4 linked regions of the Macaca mulatta genome follow. The protein of the gene in region 3 binds, or shares a complex with, the protein of the main gene of each other region. Links are inferred from orthologs where the notes say so. Each region holds a gene or a part of one and is shown on either strand. Other genes may lie near its edges. The genes, in order: GNAI2, GNAQ, CCKBR and GAST.

What was found.
Region 1: the proteins of CCKBR (region 3) and GNAI2 are in contact, whole or in part, in a cryo-EM structure (PDB 7F8V), measured with the Homo sapiens proteins. The link is inferred for Macaca mulatta from reciprocal best matches to the Homo sapiens genes CCKBR and GNAI2. Residues at the interface, in NP_795344.1 of Homo sapiens: Thr87, Thr89, Arg152, Ala155, Ile156, Pro159, Leu160, Ala162, Arg163, Val164, Thr167, Ser169, Ile241, Gly248, Leu249, Lys328, Val331, Leu335, His394, Arg396; in NP_002061.1 of Homo sapiens: Glu28, Ala31, Arg32, Glu33, Val34, Lys193, Leu195, Thr220, Phe337, Thr341, Asp342, Ile344, Ile345, Asn348, Leu349, Lys350, Asp351, Cys352, Gly353, Leu354, Phe355.
Region 2: the proteins of CCKBR (region 3) and GNAQ are in contact, whole or in part, in a cryo-EM structure (PDB 7F8W), measured with the Homo sapiens proteins. The link is inferred for Macaca mulatta from reciprocal best matches to the Homo sapiens genes CCKBR and GNAQ. Residues at the interface, in NP_795344.1 of Homo sapiens: Thr87, Val88, Thr89, Asn90, Glu151, Arg152, Ala155, Ile156, Pro159, Leu160, Ala162, Arg163, Val164, Trp165, Gln166, Thr167, Ile241, Leu245, Gly248, Leu249, Val331, Leu335, His394, Arg396, Phe397; in NP_002063.2 of Homo sapiens: Arg30, Arg34, Asp35, Arg37, Arg38, Leu40, Ser198, Val199, Phe341, Lys345, Asp346, Ile348, Leu349, Gln350, Asn352, Leu353, Lys354, Glu355, Tyr356, Asn357, Leu358, Val359.
Region 4: the proteins of CCKBR (region 3) and GAST are in contact, whole or in part, in a cryo-EM structure (PDB 7XOW), measured with the Homo sapiens proteins. The link is inferred for Macaca mulatta from reciprocal best matches to the Homo sapiens genes CCKBR and GAST. Residues at the interface, in NP_795344.1 of Homo sapiens: Cys107, Pro114, Asn115, Gly118, Thr119, Phe120, Met134, Gly135, Val138, Tyr189, Gln204, Cys205, His207, Leu222, Val349, Tyr350, Ala352, Asn353, Arg356, Pro361, Ala363, His364, Leu367, Ser368, Ile372, His376, Tyr380; in NP_000796.1 of Homo sapiens: Glu85, Ala86, Tyr87, Gly88, Trp89, Met90, Asp91, Phe92.

The regions. Positions count from the first base shown.
Region 1 is NC_133407.1:113,724,108-113,728,386, reverse strand, and holds part of GNAI2 (guanine nucleotide-binding protein G(i) subunit alpha-2), read right to left. Parts: intron 1,757-4,279; exon of another isoform or gene 1,701-1,756; coding exon of another isoform or gene 1,631-1,700; intron 1,267-1,630; coding exon 1,224-1,266; intron 968-1,223; coding exon 826-967; intron 343-825; coding exon 182-342; intron 1-181. UniProt on the Homo sapiens protein: Guanine nucleotide-binding proteins (G proteins) are involved as modulators or transducers in various transmembrane signaling systems.
Region 2 is NC_133420.1:109,009,615-109,014,417, forward strand, and holds the start of GNAQ (guanine nucleotide-binding protein G(q) subunit alpha), read right to left. Parts: upstream 3,310-4,803; 5' UTR 3,263-3,309; coding exon 3,127-3,262; intron 1-3,126.
Region 3 is NC_133419.1:59,517,618-59,521,936, forward strand, and holds the end of CCKBR (gastrin/cholecystokinin type B receptor), read right to left. Parts: intron 3,507-4,319; coding exon 3,255-3,506; intron 3,089-3,254; coding exon 2,839-3,088; intron 2,531-2,838; coding exon 2,358-2,530; intron 2,169-2,357; coding exon 1,642-2,168; 3' UTR 1,067-1,641; downstream 1-1,066. UniProt on the Homo sapiens protein: Receptor for gastrin and cholecystokinin. The CCK-B receptors occur throughout the central nervous system where they modulate anxiety, analgesia, arousal, and neuroleptic activity.
Region 4 is NC_133421.1:66,049,187-66,053,988, forward strand, and holds the start of GAST (gastrin), read left to right. Parts: upstream 1-1,570; 5' UTR 1,571-1,687; intron 1,688-4,469; 5' UTR 4,470-4,538; intron 4,539-4,802. UniProt on the Homo sapiens protein: Gastrin stimulates the stomach mucosa to produce and secrete hydrochloric acid and the pancreas to secrete its digestive enzymes. It also stimulates smooth muscle contraction and increases blood circulation and water secretion in the stomach and intestine.

The sequences.
Region 1 (4,279 bases), on a different chromosome or scaffold from region 3:
TTCAATAACGTGTCACCCACCTACCCCCCAAACCAAAAAACACCAAGGCCTTGGTTAACGGTCTTCGGTTTCATGAGCAAAGACCAGCAGTGTCCTTCTGGGGGTTCTCAGGCCCTCCAGTCCAGCCTTTAGTCCTCCCCCAGCCCCTGCCCTGCCCAGCCCAGCCCCTCAGAGCACTCACTAGGCGGCTGAGTCGTTGAGCTGGTATTCCCTTGAGCGGCCAAAGCAGGCCTGCACACCATGGTCAGCCCAGAGCCTCCGGATGACGCCGGACAGGTCATCGGGGAGCACGCCTTGCTCCTCAGCGGTGCAGGACAGTGCAAATAGCTGCCTGGCGTCGTCCTGGGCACAGCGGCGGGTGGTCAGGCAGTTGAAGGAATATACCCCCACCCTGCCAGAGGCAGGGAAACCTCTGGAATGGGGCCCAGGCTAGGGTATTCTTGGATTCCCTAGGATGAGACTTGCCCTAAAACCTTTTTTTTTTCTTTTTTCTGCAATGGAGTCTAGCTCTGTCACCAAGTCTAGAATGCAGTGGGGCGGTCTTGGCTCACTGCATCCTCCACTTTCTGGGTTCAAGCGATTCTCCTGCTTCAGCCTCCCAAGTAGCTGGGACTACAGGCACGTGCCACCATGCTCGGCTAATTTTTGTATTTTCGGCAGAGATGGGGTTTCACCATGTTGGCCAGGCTGGTCTTGAACTCCTGACCTCAGGTGATCCACCTGCCTCAGCCTCCCAAAGTGCTGGGATTACAGGCATAAGCCACCACACCCAGCCACCCTGAAACCTTTTGGGAGGTGGGAGAGGGTGGGGCGGAGGGCACATACCGCTCTGGAGGGGTCGGCAAAGTCGATCTGCAGGTTGCCCATGGCTTTGACAATGGCCATGATGGACTGGATGGTGTTGCTGTAAACAACCGCCCGGTACTGCCGGCATTCCTCCTCGGAGTAGCCATCCTCGTGGATGATCCTGATAGCCAGGGACCAGGAAGGTTAGTGTCCCCAGGGCACTGGGAGTTCCCACAGCTGCCTGGGGCTGCTGGGACCTGCTTCAGAGAAGAAAAAACTGCCCCTGACCCACTGGGACCTGAGGAAAAGTGACTGCCTCTGAGAAGGTTCTGGGCCTGGCTAAGACTGGCTGGGCCTGTAGTCGGGGGCAGTACAGGCCCAGAGGATGAAGAGGGGAAGCTGGAGTTTGGGCACTGCCTCTGGGATACAGCACTTACTTCATCTGCTTGACGATGGTGCTCTTCCCTGACTCCCCAGCACCTGGAACAGAGGGCACAGGTGGTCAGGGGCAGGCCCAGAGGGGCTCCACAGGCACAGAACAAATGCCCAGACACCTGTAGCCCAGGAGGCAGAACTAACCATCCTACCAGCTGCACTGTGAGATGGAGGCAGCTGGGCCTGGTGGGCAGTTGAGCTATCAGGAATGCAGCTGGCAGGGCCACAGTGGTCAAGGTAACCTAGAGCACCTGTGCCCCATGGCAGACTCTCTGCAGGCCTTTGCCTCCCACAAGCTCTGCTGCCCACCATGGCTCCCCATTGTCCTGGTTGAGTTCAGGGGTCTTGGCTGGAGACTTGGCCAGACCTGAAGGAGTCAACCTGTTCTCACATACATAGGCTCACCAACCTGTGCAGCTGGTGCATGCCAATATGGTACCCTGGGCAGAGCTGGCAGGAAGATGCCCTGCATACTCCATCCAACAGGGTAGCAGCCCTTCTTCTCCCCACACTCTGAGCCTTAGCAATCAGGGCCCTAAGCAGGAGCACAGCGTCACACTTCAGCTTTCTGGACGTGGCCCAATGCCCCGCCCTCTGCTCACGGCACCCAGGTCTGCCCTGAGCAGATGGAGGCTAGAAGGCTAGAATCTGGGAGACCTACAGTTTAACACAGAAACGTACTGACTCATGAATCTGGGAGACCTGCGATGTATTTCACACACCCACACCCACACACGCCCATACTGACTCAAGCTTTTCCCTGGCCTGGTACACCCCTGGCCCATATTTCTCCTTAGCTGGTACTGAGATTTGCTGCATTCTCTCGTGTTAGTCACAGAAGATATTGTTTCTGTTCCCATTCTACAGACAAGGACATTGAGGCTCAGAAAAATAAAATATTGATCTAAGATAATGTAGCCAGGACTCAGAAGGGCAAGAGGGTGGAGGGAACCCATGATGCCAGGTCCACCCTGCCATTCTCAAAATGTGGCTAAGACCCTGCAGGACAATGCCCTGGGGAGGTGTTTAAAAGAGCAGATTCCACCGGCGCGGTGGCTCACGCCTGTAATCCCAGCACTTTGGGAGGCCGAGGCAGGTGGATCACCTGAAGTCAGTAGTTCGAAACCAGCCTGGCCAACATGTCAAAACCCCATCTCTACTAAAAATAACAAAAACTAGCTGGGCATGGTGGCGGGTGCCTGTAATCCCAGAGGCTCGGGAGGATGAGGCAGAAGAATCGCTTGAACCTGGGAGGTGGAGATTGCAGTGAGTCGAGATCATGCCATTGCACTCCAGCCTCGGCAACAAGAGCGAAACTTGGTCTTAAAAAAAAAAAAAAAAAAAAAAAAAGCAAACTCCCAGGTCCCATCCCAGATAACAGCCAGATCTTGAGGAGTGCAGCCCAGGAGCCTGTATTACCCAGGGAGTCTGTGTGAAGAAGGACCAGGAGGGCCACCCAACTCCCTGGCTAGGGGCCAGAGGGAGTGGAGGCAAAGCCTCACCTTGACCTTGCTCCCTTGCTGCTGGCTGTCTTGAGCTCCAGGTCGAATGGCCCCCAGCTGGGCCCTGCTGTTCTTCCCAGACCCCTCTGCTCCTGCTCCATCACTGCCAGTCAGACCTGCAGCTGCCAGGTACTACCTGTAGCCACCTCCAGCACCCTGCTCATGCTGTTCTCTTTGCTGGGAATATGTGCCCCATGCCCCATTCACAGTGTTTCAGTTCTGATCACTGTGGCACGTCTGTTCCTCTGTACAGCTTAGCTGGGTGGCCAGTGCAGTCTGTGCAGAGGTCAAACTTGGGGACCCAGGCCAACCTTACCAGTATCCCTCGGGGCTGGTCAAAACTACCTCAGAAGAATGAAGGTGCTAACACACAAACAAACACAAGCAGTAACAATAACATCGGCAATATTGACAGCAAAGCTATATGAAAACAGCGCCCACCATGTGCCGGATGCTGTTCTACATCAATGACACCCACCAACTGCCACCTCCACAGCAATCCTGGGAGGTGGGTTCCATTCTCACCCCGCTCTAACCAATGAAGGAACTGAGGTCCAGGGAGGCTGAAGTCACAGGTTAGAGTCCCCTCTGCAGGGAGCGCATTTGTCCACCATGCAGTCCCTCCTAGAACTGTCCTGAGTACCTGGTACTGCAGCGGAGCCACACAGTCCACCTGGCACTGGGTTCACTCCCTGTCTCCCCAGACAGACTCTGGGCCATGTGCGCAGTGCTCAACAAGCAGCAGCAGGCATTGGGATATGGTGGCAGGCCGTGCCAAGGCCCCTGCCCACCTTCAGCCCCCTACGCCAGAGACCACCCTGAGGGGAAGGGCCTGAGCCCTCCTCACAAATGCCACCAGGTGTCTGCAATCACTGAGCTTCTGACTGTCCCAGGCCTGCTTTCCAGGATGAGGGGAGGGGATGTGGGGAGATGGGGAGTGAAAGCTAGTTGGGTAAGAGGTTTCTTTTTGAGGGTGGTGATTATATTCTGGAATTAGATAGCAGTGATGGTTGCACAACCTTGTGGACATACAAATGTGCAGGCCCTGGGCAGGCTGGGGCAGCAATCCCCTCTATTGCTTTAGCCCCTGGGCACTACAGGTGCCAGGCCCACTATCTTCACTGGGGTGTATACCAGAGTATATACTAGCACCACTCCCTCCCCATTGGGCTGTGCATGGCAGAGGGGCAGCCAGGATCTCCATACTAACACTCCTCCGCCTGCCAATGGGGACACAGGGAAAGGTCCCAGGAAAGCCTCACAGTGATGCCCCATCACCAAGGCCCATCCCCCTGGGGCTCAAAGCACCCACTGGGGCAGGGAAGGCAGCAGTAGCCACCTGACTATCCTCCTCACTGGCTCCTCCAGAGCAGGAGGAAGAACCAGGAGCCAGTCACAGCCAGGATGGGGGGAACTGAAGGAGCAGAGGCCAAGGATGCCAAGTCATGAGTCTCCATGCAGTCCCCAATGAGGCAAGCCGAGACTCAGCAGGGAAGCTACCCAGGGGATGGGGGACCTGAGGTCTAGGGTGAAAGCTGCCCCCTCTTGTGTGACTT
Region 2 (4,803 bases), on a different chromosome or scaffold from region 3:
AAATGAGGTTATCTACGTACCACCAATAGAAATATTTAGTGAATATTCATGAAAATTAATCAATTAAAGGAAATATGTGCTTTACACCTACAAAATACACAAAAACATTAACCAAGTAAAAATGAAGTATGCTCTTGTGTATCTACATTGAATGCAGAGACTAAGTTTTGAGTGTCAAAATAAACACTAATATAAATGAATTCAAAGAATGAGTAAGTTAAAAGACAACAAGAAAATAATTCAAAATTTAATGTAATATTCTTATAGTGGTAGATTTCAGGGTTCACGTTTCTAAAGTTAAAATAAAATATATAATATATAAGCATATGGAATAAATTTGGAAGATTAGCACAGTTGCCGAATATAAATCAAAATAGCCCAAATTTTACTGCCATACTTTCATCTAGTCAGGTACCTACTACTTGCCTTTTTAAATGTCTCCATATTATTAATATACAAAAGTAAATAATTGTATGAGCAAATGCAAGGGTACCCACTTTTATCCCTGTCAAACAAATCCTTTTCCATTAAAATGGCATCAAGTCTTGAACTAAAATTTACTTTGAAAACAATTTTATACTGAATTTCATTTCAAAATACAGTTATTCCTCCATAAACTGGTTAAAAATATTAGTAGATCTTTAAACTGTGAATGGATACATTCTATAATCTCCTCTGGACAGGTTTTGTTTAAATGATAGAAGGAACCAGAACATTCAGTCTACTCATCAAAGCAGCAAATCAGGAATTCCTCAAATGAAATCCTTCCCTAATATCTTCCTTGTTGAAATCAACCATCCTGGATTCAAAAACTCCTGAAATCACACTCATACACACACATGCACGCACAAATCCACATTTAGCGTACATTACTATATAGTGTATTGTGGTATTTATGTTGCAAAGGCAACATACCAAGAACATGAAGCAGTAACAATACTTGCATGATGTTCCGCGAATAAGAGGAAAAAAAAGTTCTCCACACTACCACCACTTTAGCAGTAAAACTGGTTTACACTTTTTCTCAGAAAATTATCTCCAAGTTCATTTTTAAAAGCACAGTGTTATTTAAACACACAGTATGGAATTAAGCATCCATGTAAGTGTATTTCCCTTAAACATTCAAACCTAGGCCCATTGACAAACCGGTTCCCTGGGCTTCAACTCTTAGCTGCTGGGAAACTCAGAGCTGTCACTTTTCAGGCAAACAGGGTTGGCTGGAGAGACCTCAACTGCCCAGTTCACAGTTAAACAGAAACAAAGACTGTCAACAGGGCAACAGAAGAAACAAACAATTCTTAAAACAAGTCTCTCTAAAATACGTGCTTTTCCCCTTAATCATGCACTTAAACACTCTACATATTTCTTTTGTTCTTTATTTTCTTCTCAATCTTGAGAACTCAGAAAACATTCCACTGCCTGTTTTCAGCCATTAGAAGTAGCTCAAAATGAGAATTTAAAAAAAAAAAATCTTTACTTTCCAACTGCAGTTTGCCTCCTCCCTGGCTTCATTCCCCTAAGCCCACCTCTTTCATCTAGTGTTTCGCCTTCAGTTCTTTATAAACATGTGCCCATTTATCTGAGTTTCAAAATGAAGACATAAAGCATGTCATGTGAATTAACTATTAGTAACTATGTGTGTGATCAGTATATTTTGCTCCTGCTTGTAAATGATACAGTACATAAGCAGTTCATTCCCAAAGGCAATTGGTTCCTTGAGCCAGCAAATGGAATGCTCAAGATAAGAAAGAAAATGCATGCTTCTCAAACACCAACTGACAGTACAATATTCTTTTCTTACAGAAATGTTTGAGAAACACATTTATTATACATGCAAATATCCAGAACACAAGACATTTTTCAGGCCTGTTACTGCAAAGCTGTTTGCTCTTCCCACCACAATAGCTCAGGGTTCTGTCACTGTGGCTTGTATGTGAATCCTGATCGCTTGATTCTGAACATCCTCTCTGAGATAATCATCAATAAATTTCTATTTGAGAAATGGCATTTTCTTGCTAACTTAGAGCTAAAGCAGAATTTTTTTTCAAGACTAGAGGAAAATTTTTCCTGTATGCTTCCCGTTTTCCTTCTAGCCCAGATTCCAAAGATATTAAAATGCTATGTGTTTTAAACAAAAGGTTTCTATTTGTTGCCAAGAGAGTAACTGAGAGACTGCACTGGTTTTCGGCAGTAACTATTGTGAATTCAGGCCTACATCTGGGTTGCCTCATTAAACAAAAGATACCGGTCGCTGTCAACAACCACACAGCACAACACTCCCCTACCCTCATCTTTATCTAGAAGCAATGGTGCAGACGAGAATCACGCCTGTCACCATCCACTAGCCAAGAAACTCTTCTAGGCTCCCTCCTTTCGATGGTCTGGTGGCTAGAGAACAGCACTTCTGTGACACATTTGGGCTCGCCCTCCCGCCCCGCCCCCAATACACAGGCCCTTTCCTTGGAGGGCCAACCACTTGGCTTCCTCATCATCAGTGCTCCGGGAATCCAGTTGCGAGTCTGCCCACCGTTCCCCCATTCCCTCCTGACCCCAGAGGGCACTGATAATGGATGCACACCGGCCACCCCACCGCAGGCCATCTCCCAACGTGCCCCAGCTCCGCTCGCCACCCGCTGGGCCACACACACGGCTCCCCGCGCCACCACCCCATGGGATGCCGCGGCCACGACACTGGAAGTTCAACCCCTCTGCCCACCTTTCCACCCCCGCGCCTCTGGCCGGAGTGATCTGCCATTTAGCAGATGCACAGCAGATAAGGCACAGCCCTCAGGGACCCAAAAAGAAAAAAGCCGAGACACCCGGCAGGGCAGCCGCGACCCCTCTGCTGCGTGTGTGTATCTGGGTGGGTGGGTGGGTGGGGGTGTGTGTGTGTGTGTGTGTGTGTGTGTAACGCGCCTGCGTGTGTGTATCTGGGTGTGTGTGTGTGTGTGTAACGCGCCCGCGCGCCCGCGCGGGTGAAGGCAGTGGCCGGGGGCGCGCCCGGGAGGGTAGGGGCTAGCCGGGGGCGCCGGGGGGCGGGGGACGCCGAGAGGGCAGCTGTCCCGCAGGGCCAAGGATGGTGGGCTGGGGGCGCAGAGGCCCGGCGGGGCCCCGGGCGGTACTCACCGAGCAGCAGCAGCTTGAGCTCCCGGCGGGCGTCCCGCTTGTCCCTGCGGAGCTGCCGCTCGATCTCGTCGTTGATCCGCCGGGCTTCCTTGGCCTCCTCGCTCAGGCAGCACGCCATGATGGACTCCAGAGTCATTCTTCCAAAGTGCCTCCGCTGTAGCCCCGCCGGCACCCCCTGCTCACAGCGCGCACACACACCCTCCCGCCCTCGCTCCCCCGAGGCAGCGGTGGCCGCCGAGCCCCCGCCGCCCGGGCGCGCGGCCGGGACGAGCTCCGGGAACCGCCGCGGGGGCAGCGGCCGGAGCCGGAGCCACCAGGTGGGCCGGGGGCGCGGTGGGAGCGGATGGCCTGGGCCGACGGGAGAAGCGAGGCGGGCGCGGGAGGCGGGCGCTGGCTCGGGGGGCGCGTGAGAGAAGGCCGCCGCGCCCGGCCTCGCTCAGACGCCCGCGCCTCCTTCCCCAGGAACGGGCGGCCCGCCTCGCCCCCCGAGCCGCCGCCGCCGCCGCCGCCTGTGAGGCTCCCCTACGCCGTGCGCCTGGCGGCGAGAGCTCATCCACCGGGGTGTCCCCGCAGCGAGCGGCCGCCGACGGCTCCCCGCGCCCGGCGCGCCCGCTCCTCGCCGCCGCCTGACACGGCTCCCGGGCGCCTTCGGCCCTGTCCGCGCCCACCGCCCGGCTCGCGCGCAGACCCGGTTCCCGGCCCGCCCGGCAACCGCGCGCTCCTCCGCCTCCGCCTCCGCCCCCGCCCCCGCCAGACGCCCACCCCCTGCCCCGATTGCCAGGCGCGGAGCGGCTGCTCAGTGCGCGCCCTCCCCCTCGCCACACACACACATTTTCTTCTTTCTCTGAACTGGAGCACAGATCCGGGAGGGAGGAGGCGGCGGCGAAAGGAGGAGGGGAGGAGGCGGAGGGGACGGGCGCGGGAGGAGGGGAGCCGGGAGGCGGTGCCGCCCGGCCCCTCCTGGAAGGCTTTCCTGGGCTCGCGGCCGCCGCGGCGCGCCTCCCAGTGCGGCTCTCGCCTCGCCCGCGCGGCTCCCGGGCTGGGCCGGCTCTCTCGGGCTCTGCGGACGCCCACTGCTCCCGTACCCTCGGCAGAGCCCGCTGGCGCCGCGGTCACGGCCGCCCCCGGCCGCCGACGTGCAGCCCGAGCCGGCGGTCGCCGCTGCGTGCTAGGACCGCCGCCGACCTGCGGCTGCCGTCCGGCCGGGCGTGGTGAGGCGGGAAAATGGCGGTCTCTGCCTGCCTCAGCCCACCGGCCCGGGAGCGCGGCCGCGGCCCCTGCTGAAGTCGCGGGAGGCGGCCCCGCGGAGCCCCGCACGCGCTCCCTGCGGCGCCGGCGCTGGCGTCCGCGGCTCCCGCGCTGTGCCTGTGTGCTCCGCGGGGACGCTCCTCAGCCGCTTCTGTGTTTCCCGTTCCTATTTCTAAAACGCCATTCGGTTAGAAACTCTCGTGTCACCTCTGACCCCGGTGCAGTCTTAGAAAATAAGATCCTCTATACTGTGGGGGGCAACTGGGGAAGGGAAGGAATTGGCACCGGTGCCCGGAGGCACAGGGGGAGATTCACAGGCGAAGCTGTCCGCAAAGTAACGAGAGATAGAAATCTAAATCCTGAGCAGAGAAAGGAAGCTGCCCAAGTTTCCCAGCCTCCCGATAGGTTCCAACTTTTCATGCCTTTGTT
Region 3 (4,319 bases):
ATGCAGCCTTCTCCAGGGTAGTTAGTGGGTGTATTTTAGGGCATATTGGCTGTGAAGTGAATGAGGCCTAAAACTGAGGGCTTATCACTTGCACAGGCCCCTTTCAAGGCCCTGGTCAGGGTCTCAGTAATCTTGTATCTGTAACTTTGTGTTCTTTTTCTTTCTTAAAAAAAGAGCACCCAATTTTATAAACTTTAGGTCCCACAAAACTTGTTTCTGCTCCTCATGGGTGGGTCTTTTTCCCATCTCCAGCCCAGTGTCTACTTCAACACCATTATTTTCTCTTGCTCTAACTTACTGTATGACCTTGGGCAGCTTACCTTCCTGCTCTGGGCCTCAGTTTCCCCTATCGGTTACAAGATGAAGCATCAAAAACCCCTCCTCCAATATACTATGCCTCTGATTATCCATGTATGTCTCCTTAGTGAGGTCCTCAGTTCCTGTTCTTCCTCATTTGTCATTGTGTGTGGAGAGGTGATATTGCTGGTTTTTGCCTGTCTCGGGCTAGATCATTCTTGTAGTAAAAGGGAGACTAGGTTCTCAGACTCCTATTCAGTTCTTTTTTGTTGTAGCTGCTAAGAGTGCTTCCATTTGGCAGAATCTTGGCCAGATTTTGACACTGGAGAAAAGAGTACAGTAAAAAATCCCTACTCTTTAATTAACTTCTGTATACTTGTCATGGTCTGATCTCTGGTGTTTCACACACACACTGAATAAACTTAGTCTTACTATACAGTGCTTCTTCTTTTATCTTTTCATCAAAATTTAACAAGTATCCATTAATATAGTATCTTAACAGTGGCACCACTTTGGGATAATGTGATCAGGAATCATGATACGTCATGGATATGCCATTTTCCATCCCCATTCACAGTTACTGCAACACTGGAATGTAGGTAGAGGTTGAAAATCCAGAAAGAATATGCACAGTCACATTGAGCCTCAGAGGCTGGGCTTTCTGGCAAGGGGTTGTGCACAGTGGTGTGCAACAGTGGGAGAGAACTGACAGAAGGATACTGCAAAATCCTTGCCTCCTCACCTGCACCAAAAGAATCCAGAAAGGAAGTTCAGGAGGAAGCCAAATAATTTATTATCTCTTGAACAGTTTGGGTAAGGAAGGAGAGGGCAGGGCCACGGTCCTTAACTGGAAAGGAATGAAGAACGTTTTCAGTGCAGAATGGTCTGTTGGTCAGAGGTATGAGATTAGGCCTGATGGTATTTTCAGTACTGATTGGGAAAGGGCATTGTGATCTCAAACTAGGAGCATCCCAGAGTCAGTCCTGTGCCAGGCTCCATAGTCTCTAAAACAATCAGTGCCATTAATCTGTGTGTGAGAGGCAGGTCAGCACTTGTCGGAGTTCCCACTGTGTAGAAATAGTTCACTGCTAGGGACGCTGTGTCTGTCAGTGTCATGTTTCTATGGGCCAGGCTCAGTCCTGTATCAGAGGCATGCCTCCTTTCCTGTGTACTGCTCCATTCTTGTTCCTTTTGTGTCACATAACCTACCTTTTCCTGTGCTTTGGGGTTAGTCCATGCTTTGGGTGCCGGTCTCCTGCGTCAGTTGTGGTTTGTGTTTTGTGTGTCTGGAAGGGTCAGTACTTGTCATTTGCCCTGCCTCAGCCCCCACGGCCCCTCTACTCCTCATCCAGGGCCCAGTGTGCTGATGGTAGTGTAGCTAAGCCTGGACAGCGAAGCAATGGATGGAGTGGGAGGGTCCTCATCGGGAAGAGGCCTGGGGCGAGCTCGTGGAGGCCGGGGGCAGCAGCGAGCGCACGTTTCCAGGCAGGCCTGGCGAAAACGACGGTGCATGAAGCAGTAGACCAGGGGGTTGACACAGGCCGAGGCATAGCTCAGCAAGTGAATGAAGGAGATAGGAGCACCTGAGAGTGCTCTGTGTGCACCCAGGCCATCAAAGGCGCGCCACGTGTTGGCACTATAAACTGGCAACCAACACAGAAAAAAAAGCACAACGATCACCAGCAACATTCGCACCACGCGCTTCTTAGCCAGCAGCTTGGCCTGGGTGGGCCGGGAGCCGGGCCCAGGAGCCGTCAGCGCCGACAGCTCCAGTGCAGGCCGGGAACGCGGAAGTTGCACATAGCAGCCATCACTGTCTTCGCCAACCGCGCCAGTCTCAGACCGGCAACGCCCGTTCTGGTGAATAGCACCTGAGCACAGAGGGTGGGCGGTCAGAGAAAAAGGCAAGAGTCCTCCCAGTTTCCAGCCCAGTCCCCACCTGACCTCCGCTCCCAGCCGTAACCCCATTTCCAGCTTTTTTCTCACCTCCATTTTAGCCCCACCCACTCCAGCAGGCCCTGTCGCCCTCCAAAGCTCCGCCTCTTCCAGATTTTGCTCACCTGGTCCAGCCCCACCTGGCAGCCTGCCTTGGCTTCGGACTCTGCTTTGGCTCCCGCTGTCACTGTCACCGTCAAAGCGAAGCCCTAAGTAGAGCTCGCGAGAGATAAGCCCATAGGCCACGGCCATAACCACACCCGGGATGAAGAACAAGAGCAGGAGCAGCAGTACGGACCTGAAGGCAAGACAGACAGATCACTCGGGTTTCTGTCCAGCTATAATCACAGATGGAGAAAAAGCCAAGGACTGGTGTTTCTAGGGCTGTGGCCAGGTACCTGAAATAGGAGTAGGATTTGGGGGTGCCACTGGGAAGGGAGAGAGAACTGCAGAAGAGACCCAAACTGGAACTCCAGGGTGGTGGATGCGGAATAGGAATTGGCGTGGTAATTCTCCGGGCAGCTGGAGGAAGATTCTGGGCAATGGTCGTAATCATCTAATAGGGGTGACAAAGGAATTCCTAGGATAATTTGTGGGTAAGCTCACCAGGTCTGGCGGACCCGTGCACTGGGCCAGCGATGCACGCACTGTAGCACACGAGGGCCCACTGGTTGCACGACGGTGTACACGGGGTAGGGCACCATGAGTAGTCCGGACAGCAGCCACGTGGCTACGATCACGCGAGCCGCGTGGGAGCGCGTCTGCCATACTCGTGCCTGCAGTGGTCGGCAGATGGCGCTGTACCGCTCCAGTGCTATGGCCACGAGGCTTAGCGTGGACACGCTCACAGACACACCTAAGCAAGGGAAGAGACAGGAGGGAGTCACCTAGGAAACTTGCGCTGCACAACCATCAGTGGGACTTCCTCACACCCCTCCCTGCCAACTGGGGAGGACCCCTACATCCACAAGAGCTTTAGGAGGGGAGAATGGCAAATGGGGGTGCGTGGTTGTCTCACCCACCCATGAAGTAGGAAACCGCCTTGCAGATAACTGTGCCAAAGATGAATGTGCCCATGAGATTGGGCAGGAGGGTGAAGGGCATGCAAGCCACAGCCAGCAGGAGGTCGCTGACTGCCAGTGAGAGTAGGAAGGCATTGGTGACGGTCCTCAGGCGGCGGCTCAGTCCCAGGACCACGATGATGAGCACGTTTCCTCCAACGCTCATCAGGAAGATCACTGCGTAAAGAGTGATTCTAATGGCCAGCTCCAATTCTGGGTAAGAAAAGGGAGAGGTGGCAGTAGGTGGTCAGCCCTCATTCAGCCAAACCCCCCTCCTTCCCTCTTATCCCCAACCCTCATTACCCAGCCAGATGCCTACATTCGCCACCCAGGAACTGCTCAGTAAATGGTGAACTTGAATCCTTTAGCCTTCTAACCCCTTGAGGTTTGGTTAAATTGGCCCAACTCTGCCCTTCCTTAAGAAAGCCTGCCTCTTCTCAACGTTCGTTCCAAATCTTTCTCTTTGCAGCCAAACTTCTTAAGAGGATATTTGTGTCTTCTCATTTGCTCTTCAATCTATTACAATACAATATTCTGTACCCTATCGCTGCATACTTCTTCCCAAGTACACTAATCTTTAACTGCTAAATTCAAAGGTCCTTTCTTAGCCTATTCTATTTGACCTCTCTAGAGTATTTTACACTGTTGATAACCCACTGCCTTTTAAATCACATCAGATCATGTCTTTATTCTCTAAAGGCAAAAGCAAAAAAAATCCTTCGCTTATTCTCTACTGTCTGCAACCCCTCAGAATGTCATCAAGATCTTCCCAGAAGGGATCTCTTTCTCCCCTACCCCCTCCCTGCACTGCAGCCATTTAAGCAAGCCACTGGATGACACAGTTTCTTGAATGCATCATTTGCACTTGTGACTCTCTTCCTGCTCAAGCTAGTTTCTCAGACCGGAATACTCTTTCACCAACCCTCCTCACAATTTCCACCCCTCATGACAAGCTTATTTTCTGTATCTGGTGAATTCCTATTCATCCCTTGTTGGTCAAGACTCAAAGTGACTGCTACTTCTTCT
Region 4 (4,802 bases), on a different chromosome or scaffold from region 3:
AGCTACACCCACCCCACCTGTTCTCCCAAGCCCCCTCAAAGTCCTTCCATCTCTGAGATTCTGTGATTCAATTAATCATCACCAATGCCTGCACTGCTTTTTGTCATTTTCATTAATTCCATCTGCTGAGTCACCGTGTCCTGCTCTGGATCAGAGTGGTTATTCACAACGGTTATTCAGCCGTCGGTTGCCATGGACACCGCACAGCCTGCTTCCTTCATCACCCATTAATTCTCAACAAGGCTGGCTGTGAGCGTGGGTACCACAGCCGTTACCCAAGACCCAAGGGGAATCAAACTCTCCCAGAAAAGGAGGGGGCCTGATGACGCATGAACAGAAGCAAAATCTTTGCTCTCAACGGTGGAAAAATCAAAAACAGCCTACAACTCATTACATCCGGTCAAACCATGTGGAGGCAGCAGTTTATCAAATAAGTCAACAAAGTGCCGTTTTGTTTTCTGGTCCATCTTCGGCAAATGCTTTAGTCTGTTTGCTAACCATTTGAAGGTATACTTTGACACTGAAAAGTTGTTGGCTGGGCATGGTGGCTCACACCTGTAATCCCAGAACTTTGGGAGACCGAGCCGGGCCGATCACGAGGTCAGGAGTTCGAGACCAGGCCGCCCAACATGGTGAAACCCTATCTCTACCAAAAATACAAAAAATTAGCCAGGTGTGGGGGCGTGCACCTGTAATCCCAGCTACTTGGGACGTTGAGGCAGAAGAATTGCTTGAACCTGGAAGGTGGAGGTTGCAGTGAGCTGAGATCACGCCACTGCACTCCAGCCTGGTGACAGAGCTAGACTTTGTCTCAAAAAAAAAAAAAAAAAAAAGGTTGTTTTGCAGATTACTAGCTCCTGAAAGCAAAATGAAGGAGACTTGAGAGGCAGGACCCCCCGGGAATTGGCTCTGCATAGGGGGTTTGCAGGTGGTGGTGCATGGGCAGCTGACCTGGGAGATGTGGGGCAGCTACAAGCCAAACTCACACCAGCACAGAAGGCCTAAGGAGAAGAAGGCACCGAGGGTGTTCCATGGTAGGGGGAGGGTGAAGGGGCTTCAGAGGTGACCAGGATGTGAGCCACCAGAAGGAGAGAACAGGGCCATCAGCCCACAATCCATTGCTCCTGGTAACACATTGTATTTGCAGAGTCCAGTGGAGGGGACGGGGAATCAATACATCACCCCGCATTCACACACTCATCAAACATCAGTGGATGGTGAAATCTACTTTCCCTGAATCTAAGCCCATCGGGTTCACTCCCTCACCTACCACCACCCACAAAAGTCCCTATGTAGTTTGAGAGATGAGTACCAGGCCTCTGACCCCCAGGATAGGTGGGGAGCATTGCTCCTGACCAAGGGAGCTTGGTTCCTGCCCCTTAGGTACAGCTGGAGAGCTGCCACCACCCCGCTCCAGCCCCTCACCATGAAGGTCAACTCCCCTATCCTTCCCCCACATCCTGGATGACTGACTGACACTAAATGACAGGGCGGGGCAGGACGATGGGCTGTACCTGTGCCCCACCCCATTCCTCTCGCCTGGACTCATATGGCAGGGTAGGGGTGGGGGGGCACAGTTGGGAGGGACCTCGAGGGCTTTATAAGGCAGGCCTGGAACACCAGGCAGAACAGAGACCTGAGAGGCACCAGGCCCAACCGCCACACCACACACCTCCCAGCTCTGCAGGTGAGAAAACCCAGGAGGAGAGGGGAGAGGCTGGGAAGTGGGTTGACAGGTCCTCTCCCCCATCAAGGTATCAGGCCACTGGCCAGAGTCTGGGGCTCACCCCTTGGAGTCCCCAGTGCTGGGACCCTTTCTTTATCCCAGGATGGAACTAGGTCTTGGCTCCAGTACCTACCTTTGTATTCCCAGCCTTGCCTTCCACCTGCCCTCTGTCCCAGCCGGGGCTCTGCCCTTAACCTCTCCCTTCACACTCCTCCCCTGGGAGGTGAGGAGGACTGGGGTTCTTCTCCTCTCTCTTAGGTGAGAAAACTGAGGCCCAGAGGCAAGATGTGACTTGCCCAAAGTCACAGGGATTTTTAGGCAGGGCTGGGATGGGAATCCACAGCTCCTGGATCCCACTTCAAGCCCTTTCCTAGACCACTGCCATCCAAAAGAACGTCCTATGATGCGGGAAATGTTCTTTATCTGCACTGTTCAATATGGTAGCCACTAGCCACGTGTGTGCTTGAAATGGGGTTGGTGTAAGGAAGTTTGTTGTTGTTGTTGTTGTTTGTTTTTTATACAGAGTCTTGCTGTGTCACCCAAGCTGGAGTGCAGTGGCGTGATCACAGCTCACTGCAACCTCCGCCTCCCAGGTTCAAGCAATTCTCCTGCCTCAGCCTCCTGAGTAGCTGGGATTACAGGCGCCTGCCATAACACCCGGCTAATTTTTTATATTTTTGGTAGAGACAGAGTTTCACCATGTTGGCCAAGCTGGTCACAAACTCCTGACCTCAAGTGATCCGACCCCCTCGGCCTCTGAAAGTGCTGGGATTACAGGCGTGAGCCACTGCACCTGGCTGTAATTTTTTAATTTAATTAATTTAAATGTAAAGAGCCACACGTGATTGGTGGCTACAACACTGAACAACCAACGTGTGGTTAGCATCTGACAGTACAGCTCCAGATCACTGAGTTTTCAAACGTTTCTTCAGCAGCAGAATTCTTTTCTTCCAAGGAAAACCTAACAGAGAACCTCATTATGAAAAACTTAATAGCCAGGCACCGTGGCTCATGCCTGTGATCACAACACTTTGGGAGGCTGAGGCAAGCAGATTACTTGAGCTCAGGAGTTCCAGACCAGCCTGGGCAACATAGTGAGACCTCATCTCTACTAAAAATAAAAACAAATAAATTAGCTGGGCATAGTAGTGCACACTTGTAGTCCCAGCTACTCAGGAGGCTGAGGTGGGAGGACCTCTTGAGCCCAAAAAGTCGAGGCTGCAGTGAGCCAGGATCACTCCAGCCACTGCATTCCAGCCTGGGAGACAGAGCAAGATTCTGTCTCACAAAAAGAAAAAAAGAAAAACTTAAAAGCAGTACTTTATTAATACAAATGTATTCTGACAAGAGAAAATTTTTATCATTTTCTTATGATAAAGCCAATCAGAATAATGAGACTAAAAGAATACAAAAATCGTGAGTCCAGGGAACAGATGACCATTTGAATTTTACGTTTGTTTGAGATTCCAGTTTAGTTCTGTATTATATCTTTTCCCCAAACTGGATTCACCCTTTCACCCTGATACATAATTGCTAATGGTGACAGCTTAATTTTTTCTTTTTTTTTTTTTTTTTTTTTTTTTTTGAGACGGAGTCTCGCTCTGCCGCCCAGGCTGGAGTGCAGTGGCCGGATCTCTGCTCACTGCAAGCTCCGCCTCCCGGGTTCACGCCATTCTCCTGCCTCAGCCTCCCGAGTAGCTGGGACTACAGGCGCCGCCACCTCGCCCGGCTAGTTTTTTGTATTTTTTAGTAGAGACGGGGTTTCACCATGTTAGCCAGGATGGTCTCGATCTCCCGACCTCGTGATCCGCCCGTCTCGGCCTCCCAAAGTGCTGGGATTACAGGCTTGAGCCACCGCGCCCGGCCTTAATTTTTTCTTAACTGCTTCATTATAATCACAGGATATTCCTCAGTTAAGCAAAAATGACTGGAGAACCTTTCCTCTCAGGGCCGCACAAAAAAACAGTGTGAGCTGGCCAAGCGTTGAATGTGCTGCAGTCTCCAAAGTGATAACATGCGGTCTGTAACACAGTTGGATGTCTATGTTCCTTTGGTATTACTATTTAAAAGTTTCACTTTTTGTTTTTGTTTTTTTGAGACAGGGTCTCACTCTGTCGCCCAGGCTGGAGTACAGTGGTGCAATCTCGGCTCACTGCAACCTCCACCTCCAGGGCTCAAGGGATCCTCCCACCTCAGCCTCCCAAGTAGCTGGGAATACAGGTGCATGCCACCATGCCCGGCTAATTTTTGTATTTTTTGTAGAGATGGGATTCGGTATGTTGCCCAGGCTGGTCTCAAACTTGTGGGCTCAAGGGATCTGTCCTCCTCAGCCTCCCAAAGTGCTGGGATTACCATGCCTGGCCTAAAAAGTTCACTTTAAATAACAAGTCTTGGGCCAAGCACAGTGGCTCACGTCTGTAATCGCGGCACTTTGGGAGGCTGAGGTGGGAGGATTGCTTGAGCCCAACAGTTCAAGACTAGCTTGGGCAACATGGTGAAACCCCATTTCTACAAAAAATACAAAAAAATTAGCTGGACGCGGTGGTGCAAGCCTGTAGTCCCAGCTCTTCTGGAGGCTGAGGTGAGAGGATCACCTGAGCCCAGGAGGTATAGTCTGCAGTGAGCAGTGATTGCACTACTGCACTGCAGCCTAGGTGACAGAGTGAGACCCTGTCTCAATAAATAAATAAATTACATGACTTAAACAACTACAGAGCCACTAACATGGCCTCAAATTCTGCAGAACAGAACCTAGGAAAACCATTGCCCTAGGATTTGACTTTCTCCAGGAGAAGCAGTGGCTGTAATAAGGGTAAGTAAAGAGAAAAAACACGAGACTTTGGGGCTGGCGTGGAACCGGCAGAAACTGGAGAATTGAACTGAAGAAATAGTCCACAACTCCACATGGAATTGCAGACTCACCTGGGCGCGGTGGTTCACGCCTGTAATCCCAGCATTTGGGAGGCTGAGGCAAGTGGATCACCTGAGGTCAGAGGTTTGAGACCAGCCTGGCCAACATGGTGAAACCCCGTCTCTACTAAAAATTACAAAAATTAGCCAGGCATGGTGGCACATG